Caenorhabditis elegans: one gene and its partners. The protein of the gene in region 3 interacts with the protein of the main gene of each other region in a pairwise test. Each region holds a gene or a part of one and is shown on either strand. Other genes may lie near its edges.

The links.
Region 1: the proteins of R02F11.1 (region 3) and asp-6 interact in a two-hybrid assay, tested with the Caenorhabditis elegans proteins (one large-scale study listed by BioGRID).
Region 2: the proteins of R02F11.1 (region 3) and C23F12.4 interact in a two-hybrid assay, tested with the Caenorhabditis elegans proteins (one large-scale study listed by BioGRID).
Region 4: the proteins of R02F11.1 (region 3) and tni-4 interact in a two-hybrid assay, tested with the Caenorhabditis elegans proteins (one large-scale study listed by BioGRID).

Annotation. Positions count from the first base shown.
Region 1 is NC_003283.11:8,266,988-8,271,240, reverse strand, and holds asp-6 (Aspartic protease 6), read left to right. Parts: upstream 1-2,303; 5' UTR 2,304-2,305; coding exon 2,306-2,613; intron 2,614-2,658; coding exon 2,659-2,788; intron 2,789-2,895; coding exon 2,896-3,627; 3' UTR 3,628-3,730; downstream 3,731-4,253. Other genes in the region: asp-12 (Peptidase A1 domain-containing protein), read right to left, coding at 21-234, 283-596. UniProt on the Caenorhabditis elegans protein: Aspartic protease.
Region 2 is NC_003284.9:9,385,332-9,389,784, reverse strand, and holds C23F12.4 (LisH domain-containing protein), read right to left. Parts: upstream 2,445-4,453; 5' UTR 2,350-2,444; coding exon 2,304-2,349; intron 2,195-2,303; coding exon 2,111-2,194; intron 2,063-2,110; coding exon 2,007-2,062; intron 1,197-2,006; coding exon 822-1,196; 3' UTR 608-821; downstream 1-607.
Region 3 is NC_003283.11:4,799,243-4,803,428, forward strand, and holds R02F11.1 (CC domain-containing protein), read left to right. Parts: upstream 1-1,851; 5' UTR 1,852-1,905; coding exon 1,906-1,987; intron 1,988-2,031; coding exon 2,032-2,199; intron 2,200-2,887; coding exon 2,888-3,168; 3' UTR 3,169-3,442; downstream 3,443-4,186. Other genes in the region: R02F11.3 (Cation efflux protein cytoplasmic domain-containing protein), read right to left, coding at 3,678-3,839, 4,025-4,186.
Region 4 is NC_003282.8:5,202,742-5,207,839, forward strand, and holds tni-4 (Troponin I 4), read left to right. Parts: upstream 1-1,849; 5' UTR 1,850-1,865; coding exon 1,866-1,889; exon of another isoform or gene 1,890-1,910; intron 1,911-2,173; exon of another isoform or gene 2,174-2,194; intron 2,195-2,261; exon of another isoform or gene 2,262-2,282; intron 2,283-2,832; exon of another isoform or gene 2,833-2,853; intron 2,854-2,865; coding exon 2,866-3,106; intron 3,107-3,213; exon of another isoform or gene 3,214-3,235; intron 3,236-3,409; coding exon 3,410-3,554; intron 3,555-3,599; exon of another isoform or gene 3,600-3,620; intron 3,621-3,988; coding exon 3,989-4,163; 3' UTR 4,164-4,383; downstream 4,384-5,098. Other genes in the region: Y59E9AL.36 (RRM domain-containing protein), read right to left, coding at 4,531-4,989. UniProt on the Caenorhabditis elegans protein: Troponin I is the inhibitory subunit of troponin, the thin filament regulatory complex which confers calcium-sensitivity to muscle actomyosin ATPase activity.

The DNA of each region.
Region 1 (4,253 bases), 3.5 Mb from region 3:
ATCTGGGAAATAGATCTTACATTCTTAAAGTTAGACGAAATGTGAGAGGCAATACCGAAAGTGGTAGATGGGACAAGAAGTTGTTGTTCTGAAGCACCACCAAAAGCAACAGTATCTACTCCCATGATTCCCTTAGCGCTTCCAGATTCGTATTGAATTTGCCATGATTGTCCGTTTTTCTTGAATGTTGTAGATTTAGATGAGTCAAACTCGCTCTTTCCTTTGCATGTTCCACTGAAAATGATAAAAATTTAAAAACCATTGTGTAAGGTGGCTACTGACTCGCAGTTACTTCCTGGAACCCAGAGATTCGCAGAACCAGTATCCAAGACGACAATAAACTGTTGTGGAGGAGTTCCAATCGTGATATTTCCTAGGTATTCAACATCTCCAAAATCATTGACATTTTGTGGAGCACTGGCGAACACAGCTGGATTGGCGTCACGTAGGGCAGCCTTGTGTTGAACGTATGCTCCCCATTCTCCTCGCCTCATCATTTGCATCTTTGGCGATTCCCGATAGATCAATTTATGCTGAACCACAGTTGCCGAGCACATGCCAAGAATGGCTACAAAAGCGAGAAGAGTTGTCTTCATTTCTGAAAAGATTTATTGAATATTTCGATGTTTTCAGTGCGTGTTGTGTTTTGAAATAAAAGAGGTTTCATTAATTTTGGTTGAAATCATGTTTGTTTCTTGATTCTACTAGTTTTTCAACGAACAACTGTTTGAAATACAATATCATTTAGGTTGACTTTTGTGCGAGACTGTGTGAATGCCCGGTACGATAAAAAGTTCAGTAGTCCTATTATGCTTGAAATATGGGTATTTGAAAGTGTAATACAAGTATTCAAGAACTAAAATGGTTCTTTCTTCCTAAAATTTATGCGTTTAAGATTAAATACCATAGAAACCTAATATTTTTCGTTCTTCAGCTCATAACTTTGCAAACTAGAATGTCCGTGCAAAGTTTGGAAACTTTGGCCATTATTCTTTCAATCTGACGCAAGAACTCTCACTTTCTTGATCTGATGCGATAAATTATTGATAATAAATCAGAATACGTATCTAGATTCGTAAGAAGCTTATCTAGAAAAGTTCCGGCTCATAGTCAACATGCCTGGCTATTGGGCACGTGATGATCAAGATGTTTGTACTGTCACAGGTTGAGAAGTAAAACAGCGGAAATGATTGAGGAAAACGTTTGATTTAAAGAAATGTCAATAAAGCTATCATGTTGACTGCCAAAATAATACAGAGCCGGAAAAAAAACTGCAGAAAATAGTGATGTCATTTGGGTACACTTGCAAAACAAGCGTACAGTATTAATTGGATTTCCAATTCAAAAGGGTGAACTGTAAAACTTGAAACCATGCCTAGCTTTCTCTGCAATCCACCAAAAATTTTATATTTGGGGTCTTTAGGAAGATAGGCTGAAAATTCATCCTTAACTATTCCCTGGCAAGTTTTCTGGCAAAAAGTTTATCTACATATAAATATGGAGTTTTGCAAAAAAAAATGCTGTGGAACAATTGGAAATGGACATAATTTTCAAATAAAATTCAAATAATGGGCACTATTGTAACTATTTTACTAACTGTGAAGTAAGATGAGATAGAAAGTGCCGTTAAGAACCTTCCAACTCAAAAAGTTTATTCAATTCAAAAACTGTATAATGTTGAAAACTATAATACAGAGCAAATTGAATTGTTGGAAAATCTTACAGTGATGCCTTAAATAAGGCTCTCGTCATTCATTATATCATCCTTTGGACTCTGTCTGTTCAAGTTTTAGCCATGCTCAAACTGTATACTTTCCTATCGCTTACGTAATTCATCACGTATTACTCCGGATTTAGCCAGTAAACCTACGTGTGTACCTGGTATTGACCTATCAGCACTTGACTCAAATGTCATCCATCTCCGGGTACCGTTCACGGAACTTTACGCACTTTTGATTCAGTTAATACTCGAGTTTTATTAGCTCATAAAAGCTGTTTCGTCAGTTTTCAGTCGTTACTTCCAGAAGCCGGAATCATCGGCACTACTCTCTTCACTAAACTTCATTTTTTAGTGATAAGAATCGCACCGATCGGGTACAAACCAAATAAGAAGGCGGTTCTTATCAACCAATTAAACTTACGTCAGTGCGCCCATGAGTTTTCTCAACAAGTATAAAACATAGCACTATCTGACATTTTCTACTTCAATTTTTGCTCTTGAAATTGAAAATTATTTCACTCGTTTATCTACACTTTCAATTTCATTTCCATTTAGAATATTTTTCTGAAATATTTATTTTCAGGTATGAAGACCTTCATCCTTCTGGCCGTTCTTGGCCTTGCATCGGCTTCAGTCCATCAACACAAGATCGTATGGAGGGAATCCAAGAAGATGGGAATGATCCGTACTGGACAATATCCAGCTTACCTTGAATACCAGAGAAATCTCAGAGCTGTGTCCCCAAATGTTCTTGCTAATCTCCCACAAAATGTCAATGACTTTGGAGATTTCGAGTACCTCGGAAACATCACCATCGGAACCCCAGATCAAGGATTCATCGTTGTTTTGGATACCGGATCCTCTAACCTCTGGATTCCAGGACCAACCTGCAAGTGAGTAGATTTCAGTTCTGAAATATTTAAAAAGATTATTTGAAGGACCAACTGCAAGACCAAGAGCAAGTTCGATTCCACTGCCTCCAGCACCTTCGTTAAGAACGGAAAGTCCTGGACCATCCAATACGGATCAGGAGATGCCGCCGGAATCCTCGGACAAGATACCGTTAGAGTAAGTTTATCTTCAATGCATTAATGTGTGCGTTGTGTAATCTTGATATAAATTAGCTGGCAAAGTGAATTTTACAAAAAATCAGTCCTTATCAAATTGATTTTCAGTTCGGAGCTAAGGGAGACTCCCAATTGTCTGTTCCAACCACCACCTTCGGAATTGCCAGCAAGATTTCCGCTGACTTCAAGAATGACGCCACCGACGGAATTCTCGGACTTGCTTTCACCTCCCTTGCCGTCGACGGAGTTGTCCCACCACTCATCAACGCCATCAACCAAGGAATCCTTGACCAGCCACTCTTCTCAGTCTGGCTTGAGCACAGAGGAGCCGCCAACAATGTTGGAGGAGGAGTCTTCACCTACGGAGCCATTGACACCACCAACTGCGGAGCCCTTGTTGCCTACCAACCACTTTCCTCTGCCACCTACTATCAATTCAAGGCTGCCGGATTCAAACTCGGATCATACTCAAACACCAAGACCGTTGATGTTATCTCTGACACCGGAACTTCCTTCCTCGGAGGACCACAATCTGTTGTTGACGGACTCGCCAAGGCCGCTGGAGCCACTTATGATGACTTTAACGAGGTCTACTTCATCGACTGCGCTGCCCAGCCAGGAACTCTTGATATTACCATTGGAACCAACACTTATTCCATCCAGCCAGTCAACTACATCGTTGATGCCGGAAACGGTCAATGCCTTTTCGCTGCCTTCCCATTCGATTTCGGAGGATTCGGACCATCATGGATTCTTGGAGATCCATTCATTCGTCAATACTGCAACATTTACGATATTGGAAACAAGAGAATGGGATTCGCTCCATCTCTCCAAAAGTAAATATATATTACTATTTATGTACTTATACTTTTTCAATAATAAAACAATTGAAACAACTAATATTTAAACAATTTTTCTGCAGAAATGAATTGCATTGAATTTTAATCACGATGTTTCATTCCTCTTATCAGTTTACTTGTGTTATCAGCGAAATTAACGAGTCCGCCGTTTGATGATGCAAGAAAATGAAAAAAAGCTTAAAACCAGAATTGAAAAGGGGGAAATTGATCACTTTTTGAAAAATGCGATCAATAATTTTAATTATAAGTTTATTTGTTTTTGTTTCTGGATTAGTACATCAAAGTAAAATATTATGGAAACCATCAAAAAGGATCGAGATGCTGAGAAGTGGAGAATGGGCAACATATAAGAAACATCTCGAGAGACAAAGAAACCGTAATCCTTGGCAGCTACAGAGTTTGCCACAGAATGTAAGTTTTTTTTAACGTATCCAAATTTTAAAATAATCTAAAACTTGTACTGATAACCTGTTCTATGCAAGTTTCACAATTTTTAAATAGAAACTAGCCAACTTTCAAAAATAACTTTTATTTGATATTTTTCTCATAAACACATACACTAATTTAGGTCAATGACTTTGCCGATTTTGAATATCTTGGAAACAT
Region 2 (4,453 bases), on a different chromosome or scaffold from region 3:
TCAAAGAATTTCAGGTTTTCATTACCCAATAAATACTCTAATATGGAAACATCCCAACCGAACCGATTTTTCTATTTAATATGAATAATTTTAACACAAAATTGGCTTTCTACAAAGAGCGCCGCTGTTGCTTCAACGTAGCAACTGTATTTTCTATCCACACCACACTGTGGCAATATTGTCTCTTATTTTTTAATTGAGCATGGAGGGCTCATAAACAGTTAACCCCTAAAAGAAAAAAACAGAGAAACGGCTCTCTTTCATTTTTTATAGTAATTATAAAGTAACTTGAAAAATTTAAAGAGAATGAAGAAAATTCAATAAGAACACATGGAACACAATCAACAGTACAACAAAACAAAGGATATTGGCAGGTTACTTTTTTAATGTGTGAAAAATTTACAAAGTTATCAGGCTCTGAATAATCTGAGCTACATATTTCTACACCGGACACCACATGTAACAGAGCCGTGTGCGTTTTTTGCACATGTCAGTCAGCGGTTATAATCGCAACTGTACCTTCATTTTCAACATTCTACAAGCTGAAAATTAAAAGGTGCTGCACTTTTCATTGTCAATCTCATTTCAATGATTTACTTGTTTGAAAAAAATATCGACAATTTATTAGCCATCGGAAAGAGCGAGTAGTAGCAACAAAGGAGAGCATGAGATGTGGTAATACTAAAATTTTCTATTTGGAACATTGAGACATGAGTGATGTTTGGATCATAACCGAGTGAGCGAATTGGAAATTTGATATCAAGAAATGAACTATTAAATGATGACTGAGATGACAATAAAAGTGCAAAACTATTTAAATTTTATTGATTGTTTCCTTCTTCAATCGCCATATATCCTTCAAGTTGGCGACGAAGCTCCATTTCACTTTCAATCATAAAGTTCGCTTGCTCTTCTTCTGCCATTTCATCAACCATTGGCATCTCAAATTCTGGAGTGGAAGGTACAATAAAGTCTCCTCTCCATTCATTTTCTAATTGTCCGGATTTGAAGAGATAATCACAAGTCCAAATGAATTGAGTTTCCACACTATCAAAATCCGGATCGTCGTGGATTTGTGAAAGGAACGCGAGTTCTCCAGATACTTGTCCAATTTTGCTGAATACGATTGCATAGTTTGCGTCGAGAAGTTTGTAGAGTGCACGGAGAACAAATGCTTTGTTGTTTTTGTCGTCGGTCTGTAAAATGAAAAGTTATCATTATTTTCGATCTGTCACAAAATTGAATATCTATGTCAAATGTTTGTTAATTCTTTTTAATAAAGTTATTTCAAAGTTTATGACTGATATTAATGTCAGCTTTAAAAATTTTCAATTTCTAAATTTAATCATTTTCAATATTTCGCTTCCTTCTAATGCTCGAAAAAACAACTTATTTTTCAAACAATGATTTTGTAAGGCAACACGAGTGGGGAAAATCTTTATAAAAAATAAATTAAAAATTAAAAAATAACACATGAAATGAGCAAATATCATAGTAAACATTTTGAGAAGCTTTTTGAAATTCTTTGTGTTCATTAAAACCTTGAAAAAAGCTCAATTTTTCAAAGTGCCATTTTGCTTTTATTTTGATATGTACAGTAGGCATGAAAGCTTATTATAAGCAAAATTAGTCAAAATGCCCACTGGCGATAATTTTCAATTATTTTTTTGGTACATTTTCAATATCAATTTTTTCTACTTCCAATAACTTTGTTCTGTCAAAAGGTAAAGCTTACAGTTGTTGTTAAATTAACTTATTACTATTTATTTAATTTATGGATCTATATCATTGATAACCTAATATTTCGAAAATCTTTAATGTGTATAAGTTTCTCAAGGAATTTTTGAAATAGTTATTAATAACTGGAGTTTTGATTTAGTAGTTCCTACACTTTAAAAATATATATATTGAACAACGGACTTTGTAATGTATTTTAAATTAATAACATATTTCAGTATACTTATCTCAATAATTTTTATTGTTTAATTCATATAACGAATACTTACCTCTGGCAACTCCTTCATCCGCTTTCTAAGGAATACTCGTGCAGTTATTGATTCTTCTGAAATTTTAGTTCATTTTCGGCGTTCCAGAATATAAGTTCACTCACTTCGTGGATCCTCTGTTGAGCCATGTTGTTCACATCGAAGTTGTAATGTTCCCAAAAGAAGATGTCCGCAAGCTTTTATTTGTCCTGGAAAATTGTTTTCAACAGATATCTTCTACAAATAAATAACTATTAAAATTATTTGATTAAAAAAATTACGTCCAGTAGTTTAAAAAAAAGTTAAGTAAAAACTCACTCAAACTCATCAAGGGAGTAGTCTGTTCTAGCCCATCTTCATCCATTTTGTCGAGAATATTTGACGTAAATTGGGGCTGCTACGTAAAGGAGTAATATTTGAAACACACACAGTAGGAGAGGCACGCGACGCAGACGCATCGCGTACGTACGCAAGGCAGTGTACGCCTTGCTTTGCGAGCGGGTTTCGACTAACATATTTGATAATTCAGTTCATTAAATTAGCAAAAGGCAAACAGTAGTCAAAAAGCGAGCTGAAATATTGCATTCGTAATCTTTTTTTTTGAACAGTCCCGGTTTTTTTTCAGAAATCAAGCATAAGTATGGGAAAAATTGTTTCAAATAGCCACAGATCTGCATCTCGTTAATGCATTAGGGGTGACAATAAATCCTAGGTCAAAACACATATTGTGTTTAGTTGCTTAGAAATTTCTAAGTTTTTGAGCATTTATGAGTTTGTATTTATGATTTTTCATTTGACAGTAATTTTCAATTTTTTCAACCACCCAAGTATCCTATTTAGGAGCCACTGTTTTGAGGCTTCCGCTCGATCTCGTTTTTTAAAGCTCAGATTTGAGGTTTTCAAATGGATTTTGCCTTGTTCAGATTAAAATTATTGACTTTACACAAAATTATAGCAACCAAGTCGCAACAATTTTCAAACATGCATACATTAATTTTTCGCCTCTGAGAAATTCTCAGGAAACTTTAAAAATCGCTCGAAAAAGTTATTTTTTGAATCACCATTTGAGTGTATTGTATTAAACTAAATTTTTATGTAAGTTGAGAAACTACTTATATTTGGTTGCCTATTTTTTGTAAAAAAAATCGAAAACTTTCAACAAAATTTTTTTGAAGATTTTTTGAAAACGGATATAAAAAAGTTTTTTGGGCGAATTTCAGAAGAAAAAAATTGTAACTTTGAATAAAAATGAAACTATTTCAAAATGTTTTCAAAGCTACCGAAAAACATGTGAGAAAATTTTTTTTCAAAAATCTATTAGAAGGGTTGAAAAATGGATAATTATTTCTACAATTCACATCACAACTTGAAATCTATTGGGGTTTCTTACATATTATTATCAATAGCAAGTTGAACTAAAAAAGATTCGCAACAAAACTACTAAAAATAACATGAACAATTTTTTACTTTTTTGCGAAAAAACTATGGAAATGTTTAAATTATTTTTGAATATTTTATTATATACAGATATTTTAATATTTATTTCAAAAATAACTAATAAGGTGCAGCAAAAGTGCTAGAAATGTTTGGGGAATAGTTTGTTTTTCAACAGAAAACTCTATTTGATACATAGAAAAGTTCAATTGGTTTCTAAAAATGCTATTACGTTTAGGGATGTCTCTTTTGATATATTTTATAATAAACTTGTTCTCCACTCTTGTTCAAATTTCAAAAAAACAATTTCTAATAAAAATATACAGGTTTATATGAGATCTTTATTGAAACCAAAATAGCCTGGTACAGAAATGACATACTTATTATACAAATTGCAATTTTCGAATATAATAAAAAGCAAATAAAGGACGCATTTAGAATAAGTGCATGAAAATGTTTAATGTTCTAACACGGAATGTAAAAAGTGAAGAAAGTGGACTAGTGACGTAACATCGGTACAATTTGCTGCAAAACAAAATTTAGCACAGTCACTCCGGCATGAGAGGCTTCGGAGAATATTAAAATTTCGGTGAATGAGATTATTATCTAAATAGTTTTTAATAAATTAATTTGAGAATTTTAGCACTCTTGAACATATTCTGGGTTGACAAAAGAGAATCCTTCGAATTCAGTTTGATCCAGATTCATGAGGAATAGACGGTCAATCGGAGTAAGCTTAGGGACCTCGTGAGTAAACTCTGAATCGAAGTTGGAAGTATCATCGGCGGATTTCTGAAAAAAGGAGGTGAATATTCAAATTATTATATCTATTTGATCTATCAAGAAACAAGTCTTGGAGTTGAAAATTATCGGATATTTTACACAATGGTAAAATGAAAATTTAAGTTGTTGGTGGTTTCATGGTTTTTTTTTAAATTTACTGTGTAATTTAAAATTGAAATTTCTTACTTTTTGTTTCTTTTGAGCATTTGACTAGTTTTTGTGATTTGACATTTGGTATTAATTTAGAGCGG
Region 3 (4,186 bases):
AACTATTGATTTTTTCGCCAAAAAATTACAAAATTGAGTTATTTAGATGCATAAGCAAACATACTACACGGAACTTATTCGGAATCCAGGTGATTGTTCAGAATTCAGTAGTTTTGGTGCTCCAAAAAGCATCAATGAGTATTAATTTTTTGGAGTTTGTTGAGCACGGCTAATTTGCCGTAGGTAGGCACTTTGATGCCTCGGCGTCCCATATGCAGAACAAGCTCAAAACAGACACAACTCTGGAATATGTACGGCAATTAAAACTGAGCTTTTTCTGCGTATCTAAAGGTCAGACACAGCAGTCCAGCTCCAATTTAAGCCTTGTTCGAGCCGGGGACTGTGACCAATAGTCCAGTCGTGGATTGCTCTACTTCCCACTTAAGGCTGGATGGACCTAGTGGGAGGTAGGACTTGAACTGGTGACCTCTAGATTGCTGGCGGCCACCACTGGTTCATTGTGTCCGGACCTCGATCGCGATGTCTCCACTGAGACATTATGCGTACATCTTAAGTTGTTCGAAGACTCTCGCATGACTTCCATGTTTCTTGTTCCAATAATTCCCAGACGTCACAAAGCATATTCCACGTGTTTTTTTTAAACCGCGTTTGGACGAGTGTTGGGAAAAAAAGAGAGTTGTGCTCTCATAATGGAGGTGTATTATGTGCTCACTTTCTCTCTGAGAAGTTGCCTCTTCAAGGATGATGGCTTCCCGTCTCCGGCCGTGGTCTACACCACCCGCGTGTGTTGCATCCCAAAACCGGATACTCTTACCTGCCGGTCAGTTGGCCCGGCAGCTCTCGCTGTCTCTCTGACGCCACCGCTGCCACTCGAGTGCACCGAGTATAAAGAGCACAGTGCTCCGACACTTTAGAGTCAAATTTTCTTCCGATGGCAAATCGGCTACTCACACATCAGGAACAGATTTTGCTCTGTTCTCTGTTTTTAAGATTTTCTAGACACCGTAGTTTCCCTATTAGACATGCAACCCTTGCTCTATTTTGTTATATCTCTGTTCCCTTCGGTTCTATCAAAAAACTGTCATTAACTGACAAAACACGTGCAAAATATTTATCTACAGTTAGACAGTAAACGCCGCTTAAGTAGATCAATGAGTTTCATGTCCAATATGCTAAATACGGTAGGAATCATTTTTTCAACTATTCTAATTTTTCTTGTAGCATTAAAAAAACTATCAACTAACATCCTAACTACTATTTAAGTATCAAGCATTGCAAAAATTTAAAGAAGCAAAAGGCTCTTACTATTAGAAAGCTATATGTTTTCCATTGACCACAGACTCCGGGCTTTTCATAAAAACCTTAGCAATCCGAATATAATTGGAAAGTTTCTATATATGCTTCAACCGTGATAAGATAAGTTGAACGACATTTTGACAAGCGCGCGCTCACAATCTTTTGGTGTATGTGTGTGTGTGTGTGTGGGGTCACTCAAGTATTTGAACATCAATCGTCCACTTCATTTTACAAACACATAGACTGGACTGAGCCCGATGGGGGAAATGAGAGAGTTTCGTGCCGCGCGCAAAGAGCACGTCGCCGCGCGGAGGCGCCAGAGTCTAAGCTAACACAGAAAGTCGGAGGGAGACGAAAAAGAGAAGACGGTCAGTTAGTGTCCCCTCCCCTCTCTCCTCACTGTTACGTACAAATGACCATTTAGTCTTGCTGCTCCATCGGGCTTCTCCTTGAGAACAAATCTTCAGATTTATTTTTGAGTTACCTTACTCTACCTACTAATTTTACAGTTTTACTTACATATTACTCTTTATTATTTATCTGAATCTTTATTAGTTTCCTGATATAATATTATTATTATTATTAAAATTTCAGGCCAGCGCAGGGTCAGGTGTTCCTACTTGTCTTAAAACCTTCAAATAACTCATTATGAAGCAACTCGCCATCTCCTTCTGCATTATCCTCCCCCTCGCCTGCTTCTGGGTACTGAACGCAGAAGACGCGAAAGAAGGTATGTTGTCACTCACTCTTCAACTCCTAAAATCCGACTTTCAGCTCCAGAAATTCGTGAAGCCAACTCCACAGTATTCCGTCAGAAGAGGCAGTTTGGATGCCCATCCAATTGCTATTCCTCATGCAGTTCCTCGTCCCAGTGCCAGAGATATTCTGTCGCATCTGTCTGTGTCCAAGGATGCTGTTGCCCAGGAAACAATAACCTTGATAGTAAGTTTTTTTAATATGAAGGTTGTGTAGGAAGTTGAAAAATTGCTTTTTTTCATAAATCAGAGATGTTAAAGAAAACGTCGCAATTATTAAAAACTAGGAGCGGGGATAGCTCAGTCGGTAGTATTGATAATTAGCAATCTAGAGGTCACGAGTTCAAGTCCTGGCTTCCCTAGGTTCAGTGTACCCAGATCCGTTCATATCGCTTAAGTAACGCATCGTCCTTTAACCCTTTAGTAAGGAATATGAGATAAAAGTTGAATGCTGACACCTTTAAAATTTAGATCTCCCTTAGTTCAAACCTCAAACCTTATCAAAATCATATCAAGAGATATCAAGAATCCAGTCACCGTTCCAATTTCTCAAGTGTCCCCGCCGTTCCCTTCCGGTTCGAGCAAACACACACACTGATTACCTAATGATTGCTACAACTCCCGGGGAGACGCTGCTTAGTCCCTTTTGCGGTGATGGAGACACCTTCTTATACGGCTCAACATAAATACAAAATATTTGCGAAGTTTCGCGGGGTGTTTGCGTTTGCTCGGTGCGTGCTGCTGTGCTCTGTGTCTCACGAAGTCGGCGCGGTTTGGACAACACGCACGAACCTATCTTTTTCTATCTTTAGCTCGTATCAGAACGAGTTCAAATATGGGTGTGGAAAGTCGTCTAATTCCAACAAAAATTTCAGCCGCCTGCTCCGGAGGACCAGCCGTCGCCGCCTGCCTCGGAGGACTCTGCGGACAAGGATTCTTCTGCTCGAGCAACAACTACTGCTGCAGATGCCAATCCGGAAACAGCACGGGACCATGTGTAAACCAGGTCTGCCCAACCGGATTCATGTGCAACACCAACAACTACTGTTGCCCACTCGGATCCGGAGGAGTCCTCGGATCATGTGTCAACGGAGTCTGCCCAACTGGATACACCTGTGGAGCTGGAAACTTGTGCTATTTGAGCAGTGGAAAGTAAAAAAATGGAATTCAATTTTTCCCTTTTTTCATGCGACAAATTGCCCCCAGTCTTTCTATATTTTTATATATTTTTTTAATATATTGTACTTTCCTTCTCCGTTCTCTGACTCTCTGCTCCTTTTAAATTATTCTAATCTATTTGAAACGAATCGTTCCCACCACCAAGACAACAACATCAACAACAAACGAAATCCCAAAAAAATATTTGAATTGTTTTTAAATTTAATTTGTTTATTTATTATTTTATTTTAATTAATGAAATAAAAAAAGAAACATTTGACACTCTACGACGATATGTGAGAAAAAATATTATAGTTTGCAAATCAAAATTTTCAAAATTTCAAACAAAAAAAAGTATAGTTAATTATGCGAAAAAAAAACATTGAGAGATGCTGATGATTTCTGTCATGAAACCGGAAAAATATGAAATAAAACTTAAAGTAGGGGGGCACTGGGAAGAAGAAAAAAACAAAATCATAATGCAAATGTGCTCTAATAATAACTAATTCAAACAATTTTATGCTCGTCGTGAGGATGATGATCATAATCATAGTCTGTATGAACAAATGCACGTTCAACTTCCGGCAAGCTTTCGATGTTTGATTGGAGGGTCTCACTGATGTCATGGGATTCTTTGAGGATCATATTCTCGTCGAGCACAATGTGCACCTGGAAATATTACAGATTTTAGAGTAGCACAATAATTCAGTTGTAAGCTCAGCCTCTTCAGAAATGTGCGATACGGGCTTATGTTAGGCCTAGGTGTAGGTTTAGGCCTAGGCTTAGGCTTGGGCTTAGGCTCAGGCTTAGGTTCAGGCTTAGGCTTGAAGAATCCAGAGAAAAAATATTCTTACCTCAACTAAAAACTTGCTTCCAAAATGGTACACATAAACCGTATCAATATGTGAAATCCGAGCATCATGATCCAAGCAGACTTTGATGATCCTATTAATGAACTCTGGCTCTGCAGTTTTACCCGACAGCTTTGCCAAATGCTCCCGTCCAGTTTGCACCCA
Region 4 (5,098 bases), on a different chromosome or scaffold from region 3:
CTTTAAAATGGGAAAAGAGAGAGATAGTAATCAAACAAGCTCGCGCACAAAATGACAACTCTTGAGAAGTTTTCCCTTTCTCTCTTTCTATCCCCCAAACCCTATGATTATATCAGACAAAACGTGGGCTATCTTGCGCTACGAGATAGAGGCAAAAGTGCGTGGTAGGCAGAAGGCAGGTGGAGCCATTTGAAAAATGAAAAATATGTTACCGTGGGAACATATACCAACAATTACGGTTTCATCAAGGCGATATAAGTGTTTAAATCTTTCAGCGAAACTTCATTAAAACTTTCCGGACAATCATCTGCTACCCAGTTTTGAATTTTCTTATTAAAATACGGTGCCCAGTCTTACTGAAGTTCCCAAATTATGGAATTTTTTACAAGTCAAGGTTTAAAAATCGAAGAAAAATTGGCAACGACAGGGGTGGGGTCTATAGTACTATTTAAACGCGCAAATTTTTTGAATTCAACAAAATTTGCAATTGTATTTATTAAACATAATCGTATATTTTTTTGATTACTGTGAACAGTGAGAACTGCAAAAAAAATGTATTTGAAACCTTTGGACAACTTATCATATTTTTTACGGAAACTTGTACCTTCAAGTCGTGTTGTAACAAAAAATATTTTTGAGCCTCAAATCATATTTGATTTCAAACTAGTTTCTAATAGTAAGATAAAACTTGTTAGAGAAACTGAATTTATTTTCCGGTATTTTTTTTATTTTCATCATAATTTTAAATCTCCTACAGCAGTTAATGACTTATTGAAGCATTAATTAAAACGAGTACCAAAATTGATTGCCTTCAATTAAAAAAGTAGCAATCTGAAAGCTACAAAGCTCACATGTGAAGCTTTCTATGTTGTCAAAAATTCAGCAGCTGATTGGCGGTAGGCACAGTCATAAGGCAGGCAGGCAGATATTTTTCTGCCTACGTGGAATCAACTGAACATACATTTTACTGGTATAAAAATAACAGGCGATTTCCAATCATGATTCACAGTTCCCATTTTAAGCTTGTTGTTGTCCTGATAGAATTTAAATAATTTACTGTTTCTTCGATAAAATAATAGGAAATTTTTTAAAGCAAGTTAATTTATCATAGTAACGAAGTTATCATTTTGAAATGCTAAAAATTTAGTTTCTTTCAGTAGAAATATTGTCTTGATACTTTTTTTGGTCTGAAAATTTACTTTTCAGTGTCAGGCTTTTTCAGCAAAAACTAGAAGTTTTTCTAGGAACCTTGGAAATTCAAATTTTTTACTATTAGTTTTCAGTTTTAAACAAGCTTATGATTATTATACCCATAAGAAAATAATCATTTGCCTTTAAAAATGTTTCAGTTCTCATAAAATTATCTACTTCTATTCAAGAACCAAAGCAGCAACCATTTTTAATATAATTTTTTCTCACTTCAACTCCAATCCCTTCCATTTTTTTTTCCAACAATTCCCTTGACTGCAACAGACTGAGGATATTCTCAAGCACCCGCTTCTTCCCGTGATGCTCTAAATCTCTCAATAATCCATACTATTTCCATGTTACTGTAACTGAAGAGGAGGTGGTGGGAGGCGCCGGGATCCCCCTTTCGCAAATATCTTCCTCTCGTCTCTTCATTTTCCGTGCTATTTCGAAAACACACTTACCAGGCAATCGGGAAAAGCCGAGCCAATTCAGTTTCTCCGAGCAAATTTCTTGGCATTTTCGCCGTGTCCCCCACACTTTTTCGTTATCTTTTCTTTGTCTCAACCCAACTTTTACCGTTTCACAGCAATCAATGATTCATCTCGTAGATCTTGTTCTGATTGGGATCTTCTTTAAATTACGTATTAAATTATTTCAGGTGATAACCAATAACCATGAGTGACGTTGACGCTGATGAGGTGAGTCGTGGTTTTATTTCATTGCAAAGATAAAAATTGATTTGAATTTGTAAAACACATGAAACAGTAATTTTGTAAACTTTTTGGTAAACCAAAAAAAGTTTCCAGCCTTATCCCCCACATATGGATGCAGAAGTAAGTCTAGACAGTTGAAAATTTTAAGTACAGATTTGGTTTTTTTGTTGGAAATGGTTTTTATTGAGTTATTTTATATTTTTTCTTGAAATCTGAAAGAAAATTTGAGATAGTTTTTACTTGTAAAAATGAAAATATTTCCAGTGTTTTTGGGATAAACCCTTCAATAAACATGAAACTGTTTTAATTCATAAATTAACAACAATCTGAAACTGTAACAGTTTTTGAAATAGAAATGAATTAGTGGGAAACAATGCATTCGTTTACTATAATGTGACTGTAATTTGTGGGCTCGTTGAAACAATATATATATATATATATATATATTTATTCGACTAGTTTGAAAATTGTGAGCTTTGGTATAAAAAATTAGTAAAATTTAAAAAAAACGTGTTTGTGAACAAGCAAGATCTTACTAAGACCTTACTTACTAAGACGAAGCGATTGCTTTGGCGCGACTGTATATGTTCATATTATTTATATAAAAACATAGTGTTTATAGTTAGAAACATTTTTGGTTATAGTTTTTTTGAAACAGTAACTTTAAAATAAATAAAAAATTGTTCACCTTTTTGATGTATAGTGATTGTAAATGATTCATATACTTGTTGAAACTGTTTATAATGTCTTTTACTTAGTTGAAAAGCGAATTACATAAAAGCTGCCGTTACAAGACCCCATAAAGATTTTAAATACTCAGTAAGTATATTTTTAATATTAAGGATTTTTTGTTCTGCAAAATATTTTTGGTTCACCCTTGTCATGTTTCGTCTTCAGTTCAAATATTGAGTTACCGTAACCGCCATATTCCCATTTCCGTACCTCAAATTCACATTTCTAGGCGCGCAAAATGGCGGAGCGCGAGCGCAAGAAGGAAGAGGTGCGTAAGCGTCTCGAGGAGGCCTCAAGAATGAAGAAAGCCAAGAAAGGATTCTTGACACCTGAGAGAAAGAAGAAGCTTCGTAAGCTTTTGATGATGAAGGCCGCCGAAGATTTGAAGCAACAACAAATGTTGAAAGAGCAAGAGAGACAACGTATTCTTCAAGAAAGAATCATTCCACTTCCAGATTTGGATAACGAAGGTAAGTGTTCTGAAGATGAAAACAACTATTTTATGCTACTTTTGGATATCAGTAAAATGCAATTATGTATGAAAATATAGAACAAAACACTTAATTTAGTAATTAAAGAACATTTTGCTAGGATGTCAATACCTCTCCAAAATACGTTTGGTTAAATAGAAAATACGAAACAGTAAAATTTTTAAATAAAAACTTGAATTTTTTAAATCTAATAGACTACTTTAAAAAGTGTTAAAACTCTGTAAAAACTTCATAATTCCGGGCGGTTACCTACATGAGTTTTATCTTTATTAAATTTTCCAGATGACCTCGAGGCAGTCTACGATGAAATCCGCGAGAGACTCATCGATCTTGAGTCTGAAAACTATGACGTCAGCTACATCGTTCGTCAAAAGGATTTCGAGATCAACGAGTTGACCATTGCTGTCAACGATCTTCGCGGAAAATTGTTCGTTTTTTATATTTTTTGAGTTTTTGGGGGTATTCATTTTAACCACATAATTATTGGATGGCACTGAGAAAATACTTTTCGCCATTTTTGATATTACTATCTTGAAACGGGAAATTTTTTCAAATGGAAATAGGAAAATTAATTACGAAAATGACACCAAATCAAAAAATATTGATATTGTAGAAAATTTTGAGAACTGTTAGCTTCACCAATTTCGGGTCCTGACACGAACGCAAACTTTTCAGCTACAGTACACGGGAGTATACAGTTCATTTTTAGCTTCATAGAGCGAATGTTCATATGATACCCAGATGCGAAAATTTACAATTTTTAACGCAAAATACATATCAATCCCGGTCTCGACAGGACCGAATGTTGAAACGGCAAAAAATTAAAGTTTCATCCAAAAAATAAAAATTTAAAATTTCCAGCGTGAAGCCAACCCTGAAGAAGGTGTCCAAGACCGAGGGAAAATTCGACAAGCTTAAGAAGAAGGAAGCCACCAAAGTCGATTTCCGTGCTCAACTCAAGGTTGTCGACAAGAACGAATTCGCACTCGATGAGGAAGACACTGAGAAGAAGGAGAAAGCCGCGTGGGCTAAGTAATTTCCAATAAAATCATTGAAAATTTCGGATAACTGGCACCCCCTGGAAACGTCTCGTCAAATTCAACTCGATCAATCCCTTCCCATCCTAAAAAATTCTCCTTCTTTATAAAAATTTCACCTTCGCATATCCATCGCCCTATCCATTTGCTTTCTTGTTCCTGTATTTTTTGTCTAAAAATTGTGCTCTGAAACAACAAGAATAAATCAAAAAACAATATATTATACAAAAAAATCGGGATGAATAGTTCATAAAAATTGATTGATGTAGATCTAGAGATTGAACCGTGGTTTTTTTCTTGAAATTTTAACAGGGAAATGGCATGTGTGGGGATTTTACAATAATTATTAGAAAATACATTTTTAAATTAAAACTCCATATCGGGAACTTCAATAGCTTGATCTTCTCTCATTCGTTCTTGTTCCAGCCTGATCAACTCTTGCCATTGTCGCTTCATTTCCAGATACTTTTTCAACGAAAAAACTTGAATCGTCTCGAAAAATCTTCGAACCTGGCCTCCTGGAATGTACTTGGCAAGTTTTCGGCACATTTTCTTCCTCTTCCTCCGCCGATTCTTCTTCTTCTTGACAAGTTCTGGTTTCTCAATACCTTCCTCCTTTTTTGTTGGCGGTTTTTTCTTCTTCGGTTTTTCTTTTTTCGACTTTTTCTTCCTCTTGTTTCGTGATCGCTCAATATTGATGTGGTATGGAATTGGATTTTGTAGACTTTCGGAAGTCGAAGGGGCTTCGTCTTCAGGTGAAGTTGGAGGAGGAGCACGACCAGTTGAGCATGATGGGATAGAAGTCGACGGGGAGAATGCAGATTCCTGGAAATAGTTAGTTTAAGAATTATTTTCCCTTTTAATTAATGTATTTTTTAATTGTGGAGTAGCGTCGGTGGTTTTTGTTGCTCTAAATAACAGAAAATAGTTTGAA